4 linked regions of the Arabidopsis thaliana genome follow. The protein of the gene in region 1 interacts with the protein of each later gene in a biochemical or structural test. Each region holds a gene or a part of one and is shown in the gene's direction. Other genes may lie near its edges. The genes, in order: ABF1, CPK4, CDPK9 and KEG.

What was found.
Region 2: of the proteins of ABF1 (region 1) and CPK4, one has a biochemical effect on the other in vitro, tested with the Arabidopsis thaliana proteins (one study listed by BioGRID).
Region 3: of the proteins of ABF1 (region 1) and CDPK9, one has a biochemical effect on the other in vitro, tested with the Arabidopsis thaliana proteins (one study listed by BioGRID).
Region 4: of the proteins of ABF1 (region 1) and KEG, one has a biochemical effect on the other in vitro, tested with the Arabidopsis thaliana proteins (one study listed by BioGRID).

What each region holds. Positions count from the first base shown.
Region 1 is NC_003070.9:18,398,323-18,403,199, forward strand, and holds ABF1 (abscisic acid responsive element-binding factor 1), read left to right. Parts: upstream 1-1,683; 5' UTR 1,684-1,838; intron 1,839-1,864; exon of another isoform or gene 1,865-2,461; 5' UTR 2,462-2,503; coding exon 2,504-3,502; intron 3,503-3,619; coding exon 3,620-3,691; intron 3,692-3,776; coding exon 3,777-3,831; intron 3,832-3,954; coding exon 3,955-4,040; 3' UTR 4,041-4,295; downstream 4,296-4,877. Other genes in the region: AT1G49730 (Protein kinase superfamily protein), read right to left, coding at 4,296-4,804. UniProt on the Arabidopsis thaliana protein: Binds to the ABA-responsive element (ABRE). Could participate in abscisic acid-regulated gene expression.
Region 2 is NC_003075.7:6,047,635-6,052,898, forward strand, and holds CPK4 (calcium-dependent protein kinase 4), read left to right. Parts: upstream 1-1,806; 5' UTR 1,807-1,925; coding exon 1,926-2,463; intron 2,464-3,005; coding exon 3,006-3,149; intron 3,150-3,238; coding exon 3,239-3,391; intron 3,392-3,492; coding exon 3,493-3,608; intron 3,609-3,820; coding exon 3,821-3,988; intron 3,989-4,075; coding exon 4,076-4,300; intron 4,301-4,388; coding exon 4,389-4,550; 3' UTR 4,551-4,746; downstream 4,747-5,264. Other genes in the region: AT4G09580 (SNARE associated Golgi protein family), read right to left, coding at 5,087-5,218. UniProt on the Arabidopsis thaliana protein: May play a role in signal transduction pathways that involve calcium as a second messenger. Functions as a regulator of the calcium-mediated abscisic acid (ABA) signaling pathway. Phosphorylates ABA-responsive transcription factors ABF1 and ABF4 in vitro.
Region 3 is NC_003076.8:7,949,694-7,954,289, reverse strand, and holds CDPK9 (calmodulin-like domain protein kinase 9), read left to right. Parts: upstream 1-1,670; 5' UTR 1,671-1,856; coding exon 1,857-2,385; intron 2,386-2,618; coding exon 2,619-2,762; intron 2,763-2,847; coding exon 2,848-3,000; intron 3,001-3,072; coding exon 3,073-3,356; intron 3,357-3,455; coding exon 3,456-3,680; intron 3,681-3,764; coding exon 3,765-3,902; 3' UTR 3,903-4,088; downstream 4,089-4,596. Other genes in the region: AT5G23590 (DNAJ heat shock N-terminal domain-containing protein), read left to right, coding at 1-28, 116-298, 388-420; AT5G23575 (Transmembrane CLPTM1 family protein), read right to left, coding at 4,249-4,397, 4,486-4,596. UniProt on the Arabidopsis thaliana protein: May play a role in signal transduction pathways that involve calcium as a second messenger.
Region 4 is NC_003076.8:4,343,304-4,348,232, forward strand, and holds the start of KEG (protein kinases;ubiquitin-protein ligase), read left to right. Parts: upstream 1-1,898; 5' UTR 1,899-2,314; coding exon 2,315-3,057; intron 3,058-3,883; coding exon 3,884-4,237; intron 4,238-4,317; coding exon 4,318-4,548; intron 4,549-4,729; coding exon 4,730-4,855; intron 4,856-4,929. Other genes in the region: AT5G13520 (peptidase M1 family protein), read right to left, coding at 1-148, 273-1,268. UniProt on the Arabidopsis thaliana protein: Mediates E2-dependent protein ubiquitination. Acts as a negative regulator of abscisic acid signaling. Required for ABI5 degradation, by mediating its ubiquitination.

The sequences.
Region 1 (4,877 bases):
CTAAAAAATTAATAGTTAATTGAGATGATAAGGGTAAAATTAAAATTTTATTTTTGTTGTCAGATCGTGAGTATGAAAATAACAATATTTAATTGTTTGAATATTTAAATTGCACAGTTTTATTATTTCATGTATTTTTCATGTATTTTTCTTCTTAGAAAAAACAATTGGGTATTAAACGTTTAAATAAAAATTAGTTAAGGTTTTTTTTTGGATTTTTACCCATTAGAAAACTCTTCCTTTTCATTTATTTTTACTTCTAGTAGTAGAGGTAATTTTTCTTTTTTGATTAACAAAGTCGTGAGGTTTGTTAGTAGAGACTAGAAAGTTGTTGAATGGGTAATTGATATGTTTTGCTCCACAAGAAAGCGGAAGTTTTTAAAAAAAAAGAAACAAAATTAGCATTACAATACCAATGATTACATATGTAAACAATATTTCCCGGAATTAGCTCGTATGAATCTAAATTAATATTGACAAAAAAAAAAATACCAATGATCACATATATGACAAAAAGAAAGAATGAAGGAGAACTCTATCATGGTTTGATGCTCATTCTATACGCTGGCCCAACGGTGACACGAAAGTAGACAATTCTTTTAAATAAGTTATCAAATTATAAAGAAGTAGAAATCATCAACATACCATTTACCAAGTGAGGAGAGGGCAAAATTTCCAAATTTGGAAGTGAATTGTATTAAACTCGACGCAAATCTTCTTAAAAGTCTTCTTCTTTTGGGTTGCTTGGATATAATGATTATTGCTTGATGTCAAAATTCGCACACCATTGGGATGATGGGACCCAAAAAGAATCACTACCCACTTCTGCCGTTGTTTCAACATCATTCATGTATAATAATCACAGTTTATCAAGCACACAAAATATCTTACATGAGTAACAACAATATGATATTAAAATTAATTTGGCACATAATTTAATCATTTGGTGTTCCGACCGACATGATACTATACTATAATTTTATTCCCATTTCATTTCTTATTTTTTTATATGCATAGAAAATTATTTAAATGCAAAATAAAATTTTAACCAAAAACCTCTAGTCTAGTAGTTTGTTCGATTGTATATAGAGTATTTTGTCATGTGCATAGATTACCACCATCTACGAACATTGTTGTGGTTTGATTTTCTCTTTGATCGCGGTAAACACCAACAATATATGACTAGACATTCATAAACTTCAGATGAGTTAGGATTTGATTTTTTAGAATTTTGGTTTTGAAAAAAAATTAGCCAACTAAAAATCAAACAAAAATTTACTGCGGTTCATAAGTAAAAAAAAAATCAATTTCCTTTTTAGTAATTTTCTTGGAGTCGAATTGAAGTAAAATTGTGCAGTTTACAACACAGAATTCGATATTTAAAAAATTTCTGTTGGCGAATTAAAATTGAAATACTATAATTATCCAAACTTTCTTCGGTTAGTTAATTAAGATCAGAAATAATGTCTAAATGGCAAGGTTAATATGGATATTTGTATCAGATCTAATCCCATTTTTAAAGAAAACAAACAAGGCAAAGGACACAATCAGCGACTAAAGCTCTCACACGTTACAGCTTCTTATTGGTTAAAAATGAACGTGGTTGTCAGCTAAATTAAGTGACTATGTTTAATAATCATTAAAACGGGATATTTATTAGTTTATTACCAAAAAATGAAAGCAAAATATCTAAACAATAAATAAAATAAAAAACCATAAGAGGAAAAAGCTTAACCCCTTAAAATGGCAGTTCGTGTCGAAGCTACTACAAACACACTTGTCGTCTCTTCTCTCTCTCGCAGCTCTTCTCTATTTTCAGCAATCGCCTATAATATTAGGTAAAGCTTCCTTCTTTTTGTTTATCCGTTTTCGTTTTCTTTTCTTCTCGAATCTGTCTTTGTCTTATCACATCCCCTGAAGTGTTATACTTTTTTTTTTTTTGGGTCCGATTCATAATATCTGTTTTGTCTTTTTTTTGGTTCTATGTTCTAAATCAAGTAGTAGTAGTAATGAAGTAACTATTCCTAAAGAAATTAAAGGATAAGACTTTTTTGTTTTTCTTCTTGAGGGTTTGTGTGATCTTGCTTTTACTCCAGAATCTTTTATAGATCTATCTTTTAGATACATTCAAGAATGGTCAAAGTTATGGATTTTGATCCAATCTTATATTTCTCTCTGAATCCAAGGATCCAATTTATACTCTCTGTATCACACACTTCTATGTATATGTTTGTGATTGATTGCTTCTGGCTAAAACTTTATAAAGTTTTGACATTTATATGAACGTTCCTGCCTTTTGCTTTTGGTCTTCTTTGCTTGCTCTTATGCAAGTATACTTAAAAGCACTATGTGACACATAGTTGTGTGGTGTGTTATACTCCTAAACCAGTTTCAATTTTCTGGTCTTGTTCTCTCTTAGGTAAAGCTAAAAGGGTCTGATTCGTTTGTTTTTTCACTGAAGAATTTGGAAGGAAGTGATTCCGTTGTGAAACAGAAAAGAAGTATGGGTACTCACATTGATATCAACAACTTAGGCGGCGATACTTCTAGAGGGAATGAGTCAAAGCCATTGGCGAGGCAGTCTTCGTTATATTCCTTAACGTTTGATGAGCTTCAGAGCACATTAGGTGAGCCGGGGAAAGATTTTGGGTCTATGAATATGGATGAGTTACTCAAGAACATATGGACTGCTGAGGATACTCAAGCCTTTATGACTACTACATCTTCGGTTGCAGCCCCGGGACCTAGTGGTTTTGTTCCGGGAGGAAATGGTTTACAGAGGCAAGGCTCCTTGACCTTGCCTAGAACGCTTAGTCAGAAGACTGTCGATGAAGTCTGGAAATACCTGAATTCGAAAGAAGGTAGTAATGGGAATACTGGAACGGATGCGCTTGAGAGGCAACAGACTTTAGGGGAAATGACTCTGGAAGATTTCTTACTCCGTGCTGGCGTTGTTAAAGAAGATAATACTCAGCAGAACGAAAACAGTAGTAGCGGGTTTTATGCTAACAACGGTGCTGCTGGTTTGGAGTTTGGATTTGGTCAGCCGAATCAAAACAGCATATCGTTCAACGGGAACAATAGTTCTATGATCATGAATCAAGCACCTGGTTTAGGCCTCAAAGTTGGTGGAACCATGCAGCAGCAGCAGCAGCCACATCAGCAGCAGTTGCAGCAGCCACATCAGAGACTGCCTCCAACTATCTTTCCAAAACAAGCGAATGTAACATTTGCGGCGCCTGTAAATATGGTCAACAGGGGTTTATTTGAGACTAGCGCAGATGGTCCAGCCAACAGTAATATGGGAGGAGCAGGGGGTACTGTTACAGCTACTTCTCCTGGGACGAGCAGTGCAGAAAACAATACTTGGTCATCACCAGTTCCTTACGTGTTTGGTCGGGGAAGAAGAAGCAATACGGGCCTGGAGAAGGTTGTTGAGAGAAGGCAAAAGAGAATGATCAAGAATCGGGAATCCGCTGCTAGATCAAGGGCTCGAAAACAGGTAAAGTTACCGTTTTGTTCTCAAAAACTTTGATATCAATATCATCTAACCAAACTGCCATTACCGTTTTCTTTTCAAGAACTTTGAAATCATTTTGATGTTTTGGCTAAACCTCAGGCTTATACCTTGGAACTGGAAGCTGAGATTGAAAGTCTCAAGCTAGTGAATCAAGATTTGCAGAAGAAACAGGTTTTTTTCTTCTACCATTTTTATTGCTTCTCCATAGAGAGTCTAGCTGGCTCAGTTATTTAACTGCGGTCTCTCTATGTTGCAGGCTGAAATAATGAAAACCCATAATAGTGAGGTAATAACGTTTTTCCTCTACTTATGTATATTTCATGTATACACCATCATTGTCTCTACATTACCAGACATTTTGTGTCTGTCTAAATGTAGCTCTATTGTCATTTTGATGACACACAGTTCACTGATACTAGTACTTGAATTTGCAGCTAAAGGAATTTTCGAAGCAGCCTCCATTGCTGGCCAAAAGACAATGCTTGAGAAGAACCCTTACCGGTCCGTGGTAAGAAGGTGAAGTCAAAGCAAGAAGAACCTGCTAATGTAATACAGGACCACTCAAAAGGAAGACACTGGGAGAGTAATATGTAATAGAAGATAGTGCTACTGTACAGGAGAAATTACAGAGACGCTTACAATGTAGAAATCTTTTGAGCTGAATTTAACTAAGAGTGCAGTCTGTGTAGAGTATGAGAGCTTTCAATATGAATTCATAATTTTCATAAACATATGTAAAACTTTCAGATTTAGCTATAGAGAAGATGTGACTAACTCAGAAAGAAAATCCGTTAATTGGAGAGTGAGGTAAACTCCGGCTGTAATGTGACCTGGAAGTAGTACTAGACGATGGACCAAAGATCCGGGAATCACCTCTTTGAATTCTCAAATTGCTTCTCTTCCTACTATCCCAGCCTATCTCTTCTTCAACCGCTTTAGCAAATGCGCTATGCACCGGATCACAGCTTTCACACAACAGCCTCAAGACTTGCTTAATTGATGGCCTAGACCGGCCTTCTTTCTCGGTACACAATCTCACAACCGTCACAACTGCATCAAGTTGTTTTCCTCCAGCATCATTAATAGAGTCTTTGATTCTCGGGTCTACCAACTCGAGGTGTTTTGATTTCGCCAACAAAAACCGCTGAGACATTTCCACAAGGTTCCTACCTTCATCAACTGCTCTTCTCCCGGTTATGAGCTCCAGCAACACAACTCCGTAGCTGTACACATCACTCTTCTCTGTCAACTCTTGCGTTACTACATATTCCGGATCTACATAACCTGAAAAAACTTCAAGTTTTTAAAACTCAGCTTCCATCAAAAGTAGTCAAGTTATTCTGTTCAGTATCTCTCC
Region 2 (5,264 bases), on another chromosome or scaffold:
AAGAGAGAAATGATGAAAAAGAAGTAGAAGAAATAGAGTTAGGTTTGTTTGTAGTTTCTCAAACATAATAAGGGTATAATTGTCATTTATCATATATAATACAACTTTTAAGCGTTGACCGCAGCATTATGCCGCACTTACTTGCATCTGCCGCTGTTGCAGCAACCTAGATAATCAAACGAACATCTTATTAAAAAAAAACAGAAGCTGAAAGCCCAAGCTTATTTAAAGATGGGCCAATAGGGGCCTGCATAAAGTTCCAATTTTATTTAGAAAATATCTATTTAACATCATTTATGAATAAAGTGTCCTCCGATGCTATTTGGGTTTGGTTAAAGATGGATTTTGGAGGTTTTCCAAATGATGTCAGATTTTGAAGATGAACAATGAAATAAATATATCTAAAGCTTATACATCTAGGTCTCTTACCCAACGGCGATGAAATAAAGAATACATGTACTAAAACGACGCATGCAAAATAATACCTGAAATTTTCTTTCTACGTTGGAACTCATTGCAAAAGATGAGGAATATTGCATAGCCATGGATTGGATAGAGCCATAAAGAATCGGTACACATTGCTTTTCATATTTTAATATCGTTAAGGCGTAATGTAATAAGTATTAGAAATGGATTTTTAAAAGTATTTAGATAGTTCGGGTTTAAATTTTATTTTATTGCTGATTGGACTTTGTTTTACAATTATAGAGAAATAATTTTGTGTTAAATTATAGTATTATACGACATTCACACAATTACATTTACATTAACATGTACCACGTCTATTTTATAATATTGCTCCAAAACGAAAGAGTGGTCTTCACGACGAGCGAGGTTTAAAATTTGTAGTCGTGCATTGCAAAAAGCTGCGAAAACCGTGTGAACTCTCAACCAAACCAAATATGATATGAAGAAATTGGTTCTTGTCCATTCGGTGGTTAGTGTGCATGCATGTCGGTGAATTTTATATGTTTTCCATTTACGACCTTTTCTCTTTATATCATATAGATTTTTAGGGGAAAAAAAAATCATATAGATTTTTAAAAAATCATGTTCCCAATTAAGACATAATGTTTAGTAGCCAAATTGAGAACCAACCTTTTTTCTGTTTATTAAATAATTTAAGTGGATGGATTTTACACATATATTTTAATGTCTTACATAAATAAAATATCATGTTATTTTTTTTGATAATATCATGTTTTATTGATAAAATCCATACATACTTGATACTTGCAAAAAATATCATGCACAAATTTATCTCTATAAATGGTTATCTACCTTTTTTTTTTTTTTTTTTTTGAACACAATTTACCTAATAATCTTAATAAATATAAGAGAAATGTAACGCATACTTTTGTTGGACATTGTTTTTGGTCGAGTCTGATTGGTTTTTTGTTCAGATCTATCGGATTTATGTATTTAAGATCTAATAAACAAATTATAAAAAATTTGATTCGATTTGGTTATCGATTTTATTAATAATGTTAATATAATCCGACTTACTTTGGTTAGAAAAATTAATTCAAAAGTAACAACAAAAAAAAATTGGATAACAAAACCATCTAAAATCCTGCTAATTAATTCACATCTAATAACCGAATCCGAACCTAAATGACCAAACCATTTGTGTAAAAATCTCAAGCCTAGTCCCTATATTTCAATAGATTTTTTTCTTTTTTTTTTGGTCAAGATCAATAGATTTTTTTCATCAATTCAATTTATTGCAAATTTGCAATAATAGTTGGTAAATACTATAAATGTAAATGGTCACGGGATAACAAAAGAGCAATAATAATATAATAATTGCATAAGACGAGTCAACATGACCAAGAAACATTGAAGGGTTCGTAACTTCGTATCATCTTCCTCCTCCTCCTTTGATAAACACCAAAAAAAGGCAGAGACTTTCGAAATCAAGAACAATGGAGAAACCAAACCCTAGAAGACCCTCAAACAGTGTTCTTCCATACGAAACACCAAGATTAAGAGATCACTATCTCCTCGGCAAAAAGCTAGGCCAAGGCCAATTTGGAACAACCTATCTCTGTACAGAGAAATCATCATCAGCTAATTACGCTTGCAAATCAATCCCAAAACGTAAGCTTGTATGTCGTGAAGACTACGAAGATGTATGGCGTGAGATTCAGATCATGCATCATCTCTCTGAGCATCCTAATGTTGTTAGAATCAAGGGTACTTATGAAGACTCTGTTTTTGTTCACATTGTTATGGAAGTTTGTGAAGGTGGTGAGCTTTTTGATCGGATTGTTTCTAAAGGGTGTTTTAGTGAACGTGAAGCTGCTAAGTTGATTAAGACTATTCTTGGTGTTGTTGAGGCTTGTCATTCTCTTGGTGTTATGCATAGAGATCTTAAGCCTGAGAATTTCTTGTTTGATAGTCCCAGTGATGATGCTAAGCTTAAAGCTACAGACTTTGGTTTGTCTGTCTTCTACAAGCCAGGTTCGTTGTTGATTCTTCTCTTTTGATTGGAATCTTATGGTTTTTGTCTTTGTTGGTTGGTTCAAGGAAATGTTTTGATTTGGTTTCTTGATTCGGATTTGCTGCTTGAGCATTGTTAGGGAAAGATTGAATTTTGTTATATCTGGTTTTGACATTTAGTTGATATATATGGATGTGTTGATTGTGCAAGGTTTTGTTATATATGTAACATATGCTTATGGTTATGAAGCGATCTTATCAGATTTTATTCGATTCATTGTCTAGATTATGTTGAGAAATGTCTTGTTTGGTGTTGAAAATCGGTTTCATGATATGTTATCTGTAGAATCATTTGTTGAATGGTCATTTCCAATTTGCTGCTTGAGCATTGTTAGAGAACCAATAATTTTCTGTGGCTAGATCTTTCTGAATCTTTTCTTGCAAGATTTACATAGTTTTGTTGTGTTACTTATGCTTATGTAATGATGCTATCAGAGCTACATTGTGTCCGACTAATTTCAGTGCTTAACAAAATTTTCAATTGTGTGGGTTTGCATCTTCAGGGCAGTATCTGTATGATGTAGTTGGAAGTCCGTATTATGTTGCACCTGAGGTTCTGAAGAAATGTTATGGACCAGAGATAGACGTGTGGAGCGCCGGTGTTATCTTGTACATCTTACTAAGTGGGGTTCCTCCTTTTTGGGCAGGTAAGTTTGTGAAAGCTAGTACCGTTGTTACTACTGAATCAAGTATATTGCTTATGTGATTTAAGCATCCATGAGTAATTTGTTTGCAGAAACCGAGTCAGGAATCTTTAGGCAGATATTGCAAGGGAAGATAGATTTTAAATCTGATCCGTGGCCTACTATCTCAGAAGGTGCTAAAGATTTGATTTACAAAATGCTCGATAGGAGCCCCAAGAAACGTATTTCTGCACATGAAGCATTGTGTAAGTTGTTACTTATGATTGTTTTCCTCTCTGCTACATGTATTTTGTTGTTCATTTCTGTAAGATATAAGAATTGAGTTTTCCTCTGATGATATTATTAGGTCACCCTTGGATTGTTGATGAACATGCTGCACCAGACAAGCCTCTCGACCCAGCAGTCTTGTCGCGACTTAAGCAGTTCTCGCAAATGAATAAAATCAAGAAAATGGCCTTACGAGTAAGAAAGTTGTAGCCCTTTAGTCTCCACTCTCATTGCTTATTTTCAAGAACTGATTTCCCTGTTAGGAAGATCGACTAAGATAACACATTTTAAGAACTATTTTCAGGAAATGAATAAACTTAAGTAAATGGCCTTATAAGTTGGAAAGCTATAGTTCTTTAAACTCTCAATGCCATTGCTTATATTCAAGAACTGATTTCCCGGTTTAGGTAATCGCGGAGAGACTCTCGGAGGAAGAGATTGGTGGTCTGAAGGAATTGTTCAAAATGATAGATACAGACAACAGTGGAACAATCACCTTTGAAGAGCTTAAAGCAGGTCTAAAGAGAGTTGGATCTGAATTGATGGAATCAGAAATCAAGTCTCTTATGGATGCGGTAATTATACCAAAACAAAAACTCTCTTTTAGAATATTGATTTCTCCGTTCTTCTAGGAATCACAAAGCTTAAATGGTGTTTTGCAGGCGGATATAGACAACAGTGGGACAATAGACTACGGTGAATTCCTAGCAGCGACATTACATATAAACAAGATGGAGAGAGAAGAGAACTTGGTGGTTGCGTTTTCATACTTTGATAAAGATGGTAGCGGTTATATCACCATTGACGAGCTTCAACAAGCCTGCACAGAGTTTGGTCTCTGTGACACTCCTCTTGATGACATGATCAAAGAGATTGATCTTGATAATGTAAGAAGCCTTCATGATCTGTTTCCTTTGTCTTGTTTCTTAGTGAGTTTGGTTTAAAACTGATGATGAAAATATGTGGTTTTGTTAGGACGGGAAGATTGATTTCTCAGAGTTTACTGCTATGATGAAGAAAGGAGATGGTGTTGGGAGGAGCAGAACTATGAGGAACAACTTGAACTTCAATATAGCTGAAGCTTTTGGAGTTGAGGACACAAGCAGCACTGCTAAATCTGATGATTCACCAAAGTAATTATAATCATCTATATACTTGGAATTGAGAAATGAGAACTCACAAAAGAAAAACTGAATCTTTCCTTTTTGTTTTCGTTTCCACTTTTGTAGATGAGCAACTTTCTCAATTTTGTTATAAGCATGGATAATTTTGCTTCATATTTTCTGCGTATAGAACCATTATATGATCAGAATCACCCATATTTGGTCAAAGCAATGTCTTCAAGCATTTACATAATCATGTTTGTTATACATAAGCCAATAGGCTGCAGAGTCAGATCTCTGAATCAAGTATTCAATATACAAAGCCAATCATGATTCAGTAAACTAGCTACACAAACACTTACTACTACAAGGGGGTAAGAGAAGCTCTCAAATCGAAGACAATAAACAAATCAAAGCCAGAGTTAGCGATTTTAAGCTCCGCGATGTTGCAGAAACAATCTTCTTCTTTTATCTTGAGCTCATAAACACCTTTGAAATGCTGCCATGCGACTGAAAGGTGCTGCTCATCAATATCTATATAAATGATTATACTCTTCAGTCTTCGACTCTTCATTCATATACTCTCTTTCTCTTTAGAAGGGCAGGGAATATGGAGATGGATCCAATGAGGAACAGCACTGACAAGGTCTTGAAATCATACAAATCCTTTACTGATCTGAGATCTCCAAGAGCCAAACCAGCCTGTGTAAATGAAAGTAAATGTTAGCCTCTTAAACACGAAAGAACA
Region 3 (4,596 bases), on another chromosome or scaffold:
TATTGTAATGGCTACAAAGGATGGAGCTGTGAGTACTATTTTACTAAGTTGGTTTCTCTCTTTTTCTTTATACATCAAGAAGTTAAATTGATTCAATTTGTTTTTTGTCTTATAGGTTGCAGCGACGAGGACATTGTGTGGCAATCTTTCTAATCCATTGTTGGTTGTACCTCTTCAGAAAGCAGCCCAAACTGATTTTCTGACGGCTAAGAAATCTGCAGAAGCAGAACCGCAGAGTAACATAGTAGGTGCCGGTCTTCAAGCTTATGAAGATGCCGTCATGCAAAGACTGCTACAGGTATTTTTCTACGCTCCTCAGGTTCTTGCTGATTCATTCGTTTGTGTTTTTTTTTCTCAAGAACTCTCATATTTTACTCTCTTCAACAGGCGGCTATGGACCAGAAAAAGCGAGGGGTTTAAGCCACATGATCAAGAACAAAGCTCCTTCAAGACCAAAGTGATAAAGAATAAAGCTCTGCTTCATGATTAAGAATTAAGCTCCTTATACATTGTTTGTGTACATCCAATCTCATATCAGTTGTTGTTGTAGAATTTAAAATTCTAACTCTTCTCGAAAAAAAAAATGCTTCGTATCATCTTCAGGAGAGCTTTCAATTTGTACCGGAAGTCTTTTTCAAACAAGTTTTTGTTTTGAAGAAAATTTTGGATTTGTATAATATTCCTTTATCTAGTTTCATTTGGAATTCTGTTGTAGATTTCATGTGTTTGTCCATGATTTCACCAAATATCTCATTTATTTGATAATTCAATCACTACAATAGTATAAAAATGTGATGTTTAGAAGATATATGGATTTAAAATGTAATTAAGCACAGGGTTGATGGTTACTAAATAAATAAAGTGGACACTGACAGAAAGTTAGAAACCAAACGAGAGGAGGCAAAGACACAAACTAGAATGCGTATGAAAGAGAATGAAATTTTCCTTTTAATTTTCTTTTCTAAAATGATTCGATGTCTTCATCATATTAGCAGAAAATACATGTGACAAAAATAGTTTCTTGAATAAAAGTAATTTAGGTTTAGGAAAAAAAGGCTATAATTTAAAACGAGCTACAGTTTCTTCGTATGTAAGCGAAGGAGACGTTTTTGCCTTTATTTAGTGCCCTAAGTACTGTACGTAGTGTAGATACATATCTTCATTAAGTAGAAAATTTTATTCATAAAAACTCAATTAACTTTTTTTTTTTCCTTTTTATTGCAGTTTTAAGTTGTAAATTACATTGTTTTTTTTTGCAAAAAGTATGCAATAAAGTATTAAATTAATTAACACTATCGCTACAACTACTTCTTTAATTAGTCTATACTATTAGATATCATATAATTTTATTTCTTAAAAGTTAAAAGAGGCAATATTGTACATTTTGAATGCATTGTGCCTTATTAAACAATTAAATTTATTTAACTTTAATAAAGTTAAAAATAAAAATAAAAATTTGGACTCTGGTAGTATATTACCTGATTAATATATTTGAGTATTTGACCAAATTTATATATTTAGAAAATATAAAAATATCAACTAATTAATAATTCAACTATCAATGAATTTTTTTCCTTCATTCAGTTAAAAGCATTCATGGAATTTGTTTTACTTCCCATTTTTTCATTTGATGTGGACAAAAAATCTGAAATGGAAAGCTATTATTAGCTAATCAATCATTGTCCAAAACTTGGTTTTATTTCTCTCCTAACTCTTGACTTCCCTCTCTCTCTCTCTCTCTCTCTCTCTCTCTTCAATGCCTTCTCCAAGTCAGTTTCTTTCCTCATTCAACAGTTTCTCTTCTTCTTCCTCTGCTTAAACGAAACCCTCAAAGAAATAAAAAAAAGCTCTCAAGAATGGCGAACAAACCAAGAACCAGATGGGTTCTTCCTTACAAGACCAAAAACGTTGAAGACAATTACTTTCTTGGTCAAGTCCTTGGACAAGGCCAATTCGGAACCACTTTCCTCTGTACCCATAAACAGACAGGTCAAAAGCTTGCCTGCAAATCCATACCCAAAAGGAAGCTCCTTTGTCAAGAAGATTACGACGACGTTCTGAGAGAGATCCAGATAATGCATCACTTGTCTGAATACCCCAACGTTGTCCGTATAGAGAGTGCGTACGAGGACACCAAAAACGTGCATCTTGTGATGGAGCTTTGTGAAGGAGGTGAGTTGTTTGATAGAATTGTGAAGAGAGGTCATTACAGTGAAAGAGAAGCTGCTAAGCTTATCAAGACCATTGTTGGGGTTGTTGAGGCGTGTCACTCTCTTGGTGTTGTTCATAGAGATCTTAAGCCTGAGAATTTCTTGTTTTCTTCTTCTGATGAAGATGCTTCTCTTAAATCTACTGACTTTGGCCTCTCTGTTTTCTGCACACCAGGTGTGAATTTGTTCTTGTTCTTCTCTAATTTTGTTCCGTGACTGTGTTGGGGATGTTTATGAGTATCAATTTCGTTACTTGATGAGTCAGTTTGTCTATTAGTAGTACTTTAAAAGAGCACATTGACCCCTTGCTTAAGATCCCATCTTTCAAATGCAGTGACTGTGTGTGGTTTAGCTGAATTAGTTTGATAAGGAGCTCTTGTTTTGGACACACAAATCTTTGTCTTTCAGGAGAAGCATTTTCGGAACTCGTTGGTAGTGCTTACTATGTGGCACCTGAGGTTTTACATAAGCATTATGGTCCTGAATGTGACGTATGGAGTGCTGGAGTTATCCTCTACATTCTCTTATGTGGTTTTCCTCCTTTTTGGGCTGGTATATTTCCAATGCCTTCTTTCTTTATAAATGCATTGTTTCCACCAAGTGCTTACTCTCTCTCGGTGTCTTATTCTGTATCCAGAGAGTGAAATAGGCATCTTCAGGAAGATTTTACAGGGAAAGTTGGAGTTTGAGATCAATCCTTGGCCTAGCATTTCAGAGAGTGCCAAAGATCTTATAAAGAAAATGCTTGAAAGCAATCCTAAAAAGAGGCTAACTGCTCATCAAGTGTTGTGTAAGTTGTCATGTCTGCGAAAGTTGATGAGTTTTTTTTTCTTGTAAGCTGATTCATATGTTCTTGTGTCAGGTCATCCGTGGATTGTGGATGATAAGGTTGCTCCAGATAAACCTTTGGACTGCGCGGTAGTGTCCCGCCTGAAGAAGTTCTCTGCAATGAACAAACTTAAGAAGATGGCTTTACGAGTTATTGCAGAGAGACTATCTGAGGAAGAAATCGGTGGTCTCAAAGAACTGTTCAAAATGATAGACACAGATAAAAGTGGGACTATCACGTTTGAAGAGTTAAAAGATAGTATGAGACGTGTTGGGTCAGAGCTTATGGAATCAGAGATCCAAGAACTCTTGCGTGCGGTAAACTAGCTACTACTCCTTTATTATCAACTTTCACTTTTAACATCTTTGTTGTGGCTGGAAGTAATATCATCTTCTCATTGTGTGTGTGTGTGTTAGGCTGATGTTGATGAGAGTGGAACAATTGACTATGGAGAGTTCTTAGCTGCAACAATCCACTTGAACAAGCTGGAGAGAGAGGAGAATCTAGTAGCTGCATTCTCTTTCTTTGATAAGGATGCAAGTGGTTACATCACTATCGAAGAGCTTCAACAGGCATGGAAGGAGTTTGGTATAAACGATTCTAATCTTGATGAAATGATCAAAGACATTGATCAAGATAATGTGAGTAGTACACAAATGATCTTTACTGTTTGTTTGATGAAGAGCTTGGAAGAAATGTTTATGGTGGTTGCTTTTTTTTTGTAGGATGGACAAATAGACTATGGAGAATTTGTGGCAATGATGAGGAAAGGAAATGGCACTGGAGGAGGGATTGGTCGGAGAACTATGAGGAACTCTCTCAACTTTGGAACTACTCTTCCTGATGAGTCTATGAATGTCTGAAGTACTCATTTTTAGTGAAAATAATTTAGCGACTTTATGGAGCAAAACATGTCATATGATACAACTTGCTGTTTCTGCTTACTCTAATTCTGCTTTTAACAACTCTTAGTAATTGAAATTGTAAGCTCTCAACAATTTGTAGAATTTTCCCATGGATTTTACCATATCTCAGAGCTTTAGAGAAAATGTTGTTTTTTTCCTTTTTCACAAAAAACCAAAGGAGTTGCTTAATAATGTGTCTTGAGGGTTGACATTAAACTTGAACAAAACAATTTCCAAAAGTGAGAACAAAAATAAATTAAGACACTATAACTGAACTGTAATAAAATTTGAAGAAGAGAAGAGATTAGTTTGTTTTCTTGTCTTCTTCTTCTTTCTCAGTGATCAACTTCTTCTCTGCAGTTTCATCCTCACCTCCAAAACCGAACTCGTTCACACGTGTCTTATCCACTGGGTAAACCCACCTTTGGTATAAGTATATCAAGAATATCACATCTGAAACACAGAGAGAGAGATCCATTAAATAAGACTGTTTCTGAAAATCTGAATCGAAATAGAGAGGAATTTGATAGATTTTACTCACCATCTCTGAATACAGAAAGTCGATGTAAAATCGGCATTTTGATGACAAAGGCAAAGAGATCGTCGATAATGGTGTTGAGGAACTTGTAAGTCATCTGTCTCCATGGTAAAT
Region 4 (4,929 bases), on another chromosome or scaffold:
TGTTCCACAGTTTAGTGCACTCCAAGTTGTCCTTAAACCGTTCCATTTCATCAGTTAAACCCCTCCAACCAATGCCAATGTTCAAAGTAGCTATATCCGCCCCTTGAACAACCTCCACAATTCTCCTCTCTGCGTAAGTTGTAAATCCCTATTGCCATGAACATGAAATAAACACTTTCCCATCAACAAGGCAAACTCTAAAAACGGACACACAGTTACACATCCTAATTTGTAGCTAAAAGAAGCAAAAGCACAAGACAATTCAAAGCTACCTCATTCAACCAGAAGTGTTCATTGTTGATATTAGTGATCAAATTCCCAGTCCAGCTATGTGCGAGCTCGTGAGCTACAACTTGAGCTCCAGTGGCGTCTCCTTTGATAACAGTAGGCGTCAGGAAAACCATTCTTGGATTCTCCATACCTCCATAAGGAAAACTCGGAGGCAGCACCAGTAAGTCAAATCTCTCCCACTCGTAATCTCCAAACAGCTTCTCCCCTTGCTTGATCATATCCTCCGTTCCTGCAAACTCCAGAGCAGCCGCATCTAGAACTTCAATGGCGGCAGATTCTGTGTATACCCGAGTCCTAGGTCCAACTTCCCGAAACCCTAACTCACCAACGGCAAAAGCAAATAGATAAGGCGGTATAGGCTGTTCCATAGCAAACTCTTCCACAACTCTATCCTCACCACACCACAGTGACGACCCCAGCGACCCAGCCTCGAGATGTTTAGCCTCCTCAGGAACCGCAAGCCTACGACGGACGTGGCGAGCCGACATGACGGCAGAGAGCGAATTCGGTATGTTCATAACGACGTCGTAACGGATCCTCGCGGCAGGAGTGTCCTGGCATGGGAAAATGGATCTGGCGTGAATCGCTTGACACTGCGTGTAGACATAAGGATGCAATTTGGAGAAAGTTTGAAGCGGCGAAAGCCACTGGAGAGCGGAAGCAGAAGGCGAAGTGGAGTAGACAATTAGCAGTGAAGATTGACCGGAGAGGACTACGACAACTTCGGTGCCCCGAATTCGATCCGGTGTGGTGGAGACGGAGTAAGGGATAGGCTCGAGAGTGAGAGGATCGAGGACCATAGCAATGGAAATGCAGCGAGTATCAAGAGAGAGTTCGCCGGAGAAGGCGGAGGAGAGAGTGAGGAGAGCGGAGCCATGGATTATGGAGGTGTTGAAATCGAGGTAGAGGGAGAGAGCGACATGCGTGGTGAGAGGATGAGAGGAATCGGTGAAAGAGTGTGGATCAATGGGTGCCATTGCTGAGTGAGAGAAGCTTGCTTAGGGTTTTGAGGAAAGGGGCAGTTAGAGAGGTGGAGAAGAGAGTATAAAGCGGGAGAAAAAGAAAAAATGAAGAATTGTTGTTCGATGGTACCATTTTATGATGATAAATAATGTATTTTTGGAATAATTTGGTTAATGGAGAATCATTTAGTGCATAAAGTTGAAACCGTTAGATATTAAACGGCGACTAAATACAATGTTAAACCCAAGTTGGATGAACCAAAAGCACACCAAGCCACCAACAATCCTGAGATTTTTAACAACCATCTTTTTGGGCTTGAGCCTCTATTGAGCTTCAAGTTTTAGGTCCATGAGTTATACACTCACACGAGTAATCTACTTAGCAACAAACAACGAGTTTACATTTTGGTATTGGTGTCAGATTTATCGTCTCATTATTTGGTGAACTCTATTACAAGATCAAACAATCTATTTGTTTTTGCATTTGGCTCAAAAGCTACTTGGTAAAAACTTCGCCAAAAAAAAAAACTCTCAGTAAAAATTACAATTATTTTTTCCTGATGGTTTAAGTTGTTGATGACAACAAATATAAAATCTGATGGTTGACGATTACTACTATTAGGAGAGTCAATAAACGGGTTCGAGCACAAGTGCTGACGGCACCCACCCGTCAAAACCGACGAAACCAGAGAGCCCTCGAGACTCAACCCCAAATAAAATTGGAAAAAAATGAAAATAAAAATAAAAATGATGATATAAAACCCTGAAGAAGAACCTTTTTCACATTTTTCTTACAATTTTTATTCTTGCTTGCTCGTGTCTGATTTTTCCCAGCCAATTTTGATCTACCTTTCAAAAATTCCACCTTTTTCTTTCTTCTCCATGGATCTGTTCTTCTCTCCTTGATCTGGATCGACTTTACTGAGTTTCCTTCCCCCCCCCCCCCCCCCAGATATGTTCTGAGGAACTCTCTCTACTGAATTGATTGGTCTTTCACTCCCTTCTTACTCTTTGATCTCGCGACCTAAATTAATTTAGGGCTTTCTCTTTTCGGAGCTCTCATGGTTGGGAGAGTCAAGGTCCCTTGTTGTTCCGTGTGCCACACGCGGTATAATGAAGATGAGAGAGTTCCTTTATTGCTTCAATGCGGCCATGGCTTCTGCAAAGATTGTCTTTCCAAGATGTTCTCTACTTCTTCCGACACAACCCTCACTTGTCCCCGGTGTCGCCACGTGTCTGTTGTTGGGAACTCTGTTCAGGGTCTCAGGAAGAACTACGCTATGCTTGCTCTCATTCACGCCGCATCCGGCGGCGCTAACTTCGATTGCGATTACACGGATGATGAGGATGACGACGATGAAGAAGATGGTAGTGATGAAGATGGAGCTCGTGCCGCTCGTGGATTTCATGCCTCAAGCTCGATTAATAGCTTGTGTGGTCCAGTGATCGAGGTCGGAGCTCACCCGGAGATGAAGCTGGTGAGGCAGATTGGGGAAGAGAGTAGTAGTGGTGGTTTTGGAGGTGTGGAGATGTGGGATGCAACTGTTGCAGGCGGTGGTGGACGGTGTAAGCACCGTGTGGCGGTGAAAAAGATGACTTTGACGGAGGACATGGATGTTGAGTGGATGCAGGGACAGCTTGAGAGCTTGCGGAGAGCATCCATGTGGTGTAGGAATGTTTGTACTTTCCATGGGGTTGTGAAGATGGATGGATCTCTTTGTCTTTTGATGGACAGGTGCTTTGGGTCTGTTCAGTCTGAGATGCAACGCAATGAAGGCAGACTTACTTTGGAGCAGATTCTAAGGTTCCTCTTTTGCTTCTCTTATTCTTTTTTTTTGCCTAGTATCTGGCTTTTACTGTGATCGTTTCTGTGCTTAAAGTCTCAAACTTTGATAGCCTGTTCCCTAATTAGAAATTACTGGACTAGACCCGACTTGGTTTTTTGTGATTGCTATTAGAAATATATATTGTAAGTGCACAGTTTTTCAGATTCTAGTGAAACAAGCAACTAAAACCTGGTGTCATTTGCCAAAAGGGCAACTTGTAAGATAACTTTAGTTTAGATGTTCTTAAAAAGCTAGGCACGAATTATAGTAGTTGTCATCTCTCTTTGTCATTACCAGCTGCAGCTACTTTTCATCTGTCAATGCCTCAATAGACAAACATTTTTTGGACTAGTCCTTTCCTTTTTAGTAGTGGATCCTTGAACCTACGTTTGCAAGATATCTTTGAGAAAGCCCTTTACATTAGTATGCTTCCTTCTAAAGTATATGACCAGAAATCATTTTTCAACGAACTGACATATCAAATCATGCAAAAAATTGTACGAATTGTTATACATTAATTTATCAAAGGACGCATCATCTAAAGATGATCCTTATTTTGTTGTCCTGGTTCTAATATTACCTTCAATTCACTTGTTTGTATTTCCTCCTATTTTCTGTTTTTAACTGAATTGCGTCATTTGGGACTATTAAATGTAAGCACTAATGCGTAAATGAGTGTTTTGTATTCTCCTTTCATATCGTGCTCATGTTGTTTTAAGTTTACAACTTAGAATATTCCTTCAGTGACCAACATATGTATTATTCCATTGCTCTTGTTGTGATATTAAATTTTACCAACTGTAGATATGGGGCTGATGTTGCTCGAGGGGTTGCAGAACTCCATGCAGCAGGTGTTATCTGTATGAATATAAAACCTTCCAATCTTCTTTTGGATGCAAGCGGCAATGCTGTGGTTTCTGATTATGGGCTCGCTCCCATCCTAAAGAAGCCAACATGCCAGAAAACTCGACCAGAGTTTGATTCCTCAAAAGTCACTCTATACACGGACTGTGTAACACTCAGTCCACACTACACTGCCCCAGAGGCTTGGGGACCGGTGAAAAAACTTTTTTGGGAGGATGCAAGTGGTGTATCTCCAGAATCAGATGCATGGAGTTTTGGCTGTACGTTAGTAGAGATGTGCACTGGATCCACTCCGTATGTGAAGCCTCTTCCTAGTTGATATTTCAGTTGTGTTTTGTGTCTGCCATTGTACTAACTGTCACTTAATTTTACAGGTGGGATGGTCTTAGTAGAGAAGAAATTTTTCAAGCTGTTGTGAAAGCCCGAAAAGTACCACCACAGTATGAACGCATAGTGGGTGTGGGAATTCCTCGGGAATTATGGAAAATGATTGGTGAATGTCTTCAGTTTAAACCGTCGAAAAGACCAACCTTTAATGCAATGCTTGCTACATTTCTTCGTCATCTACAAGAGATACCACGTAGCCCTTCAGCAAGCCCTGATAAGTAAGAGTTTTAAGTCCCTAAGATTACTTAGTTTTATGGTTTCCCTGTTTTCGTTGCTTGTCAGTAAAGAAGACCCTTTCACTTGTGTTAAGATTAATATTAGCACCAACACCTAAGATTATTTTTGTCATCATGCCTATATTCCTTCGCCTAACAATAATATAAACCATGTATGATGTAGTGGGATTGCCAAAATATGTGAAGTAAACATTGTACAAGCACCTCGCGCGACTAACATAGGGGTCTTTCAGGATAACCCTAACAACCTACATCGGGTTGTTTTGGAGGGAGACTTTGAGGGTGTAAGGTTAGTATCTGTTAGGAATTCTAGTTAATCCTTTTGTTCGCACTAGCTATAAACAACCTGTTCTCAACTACATT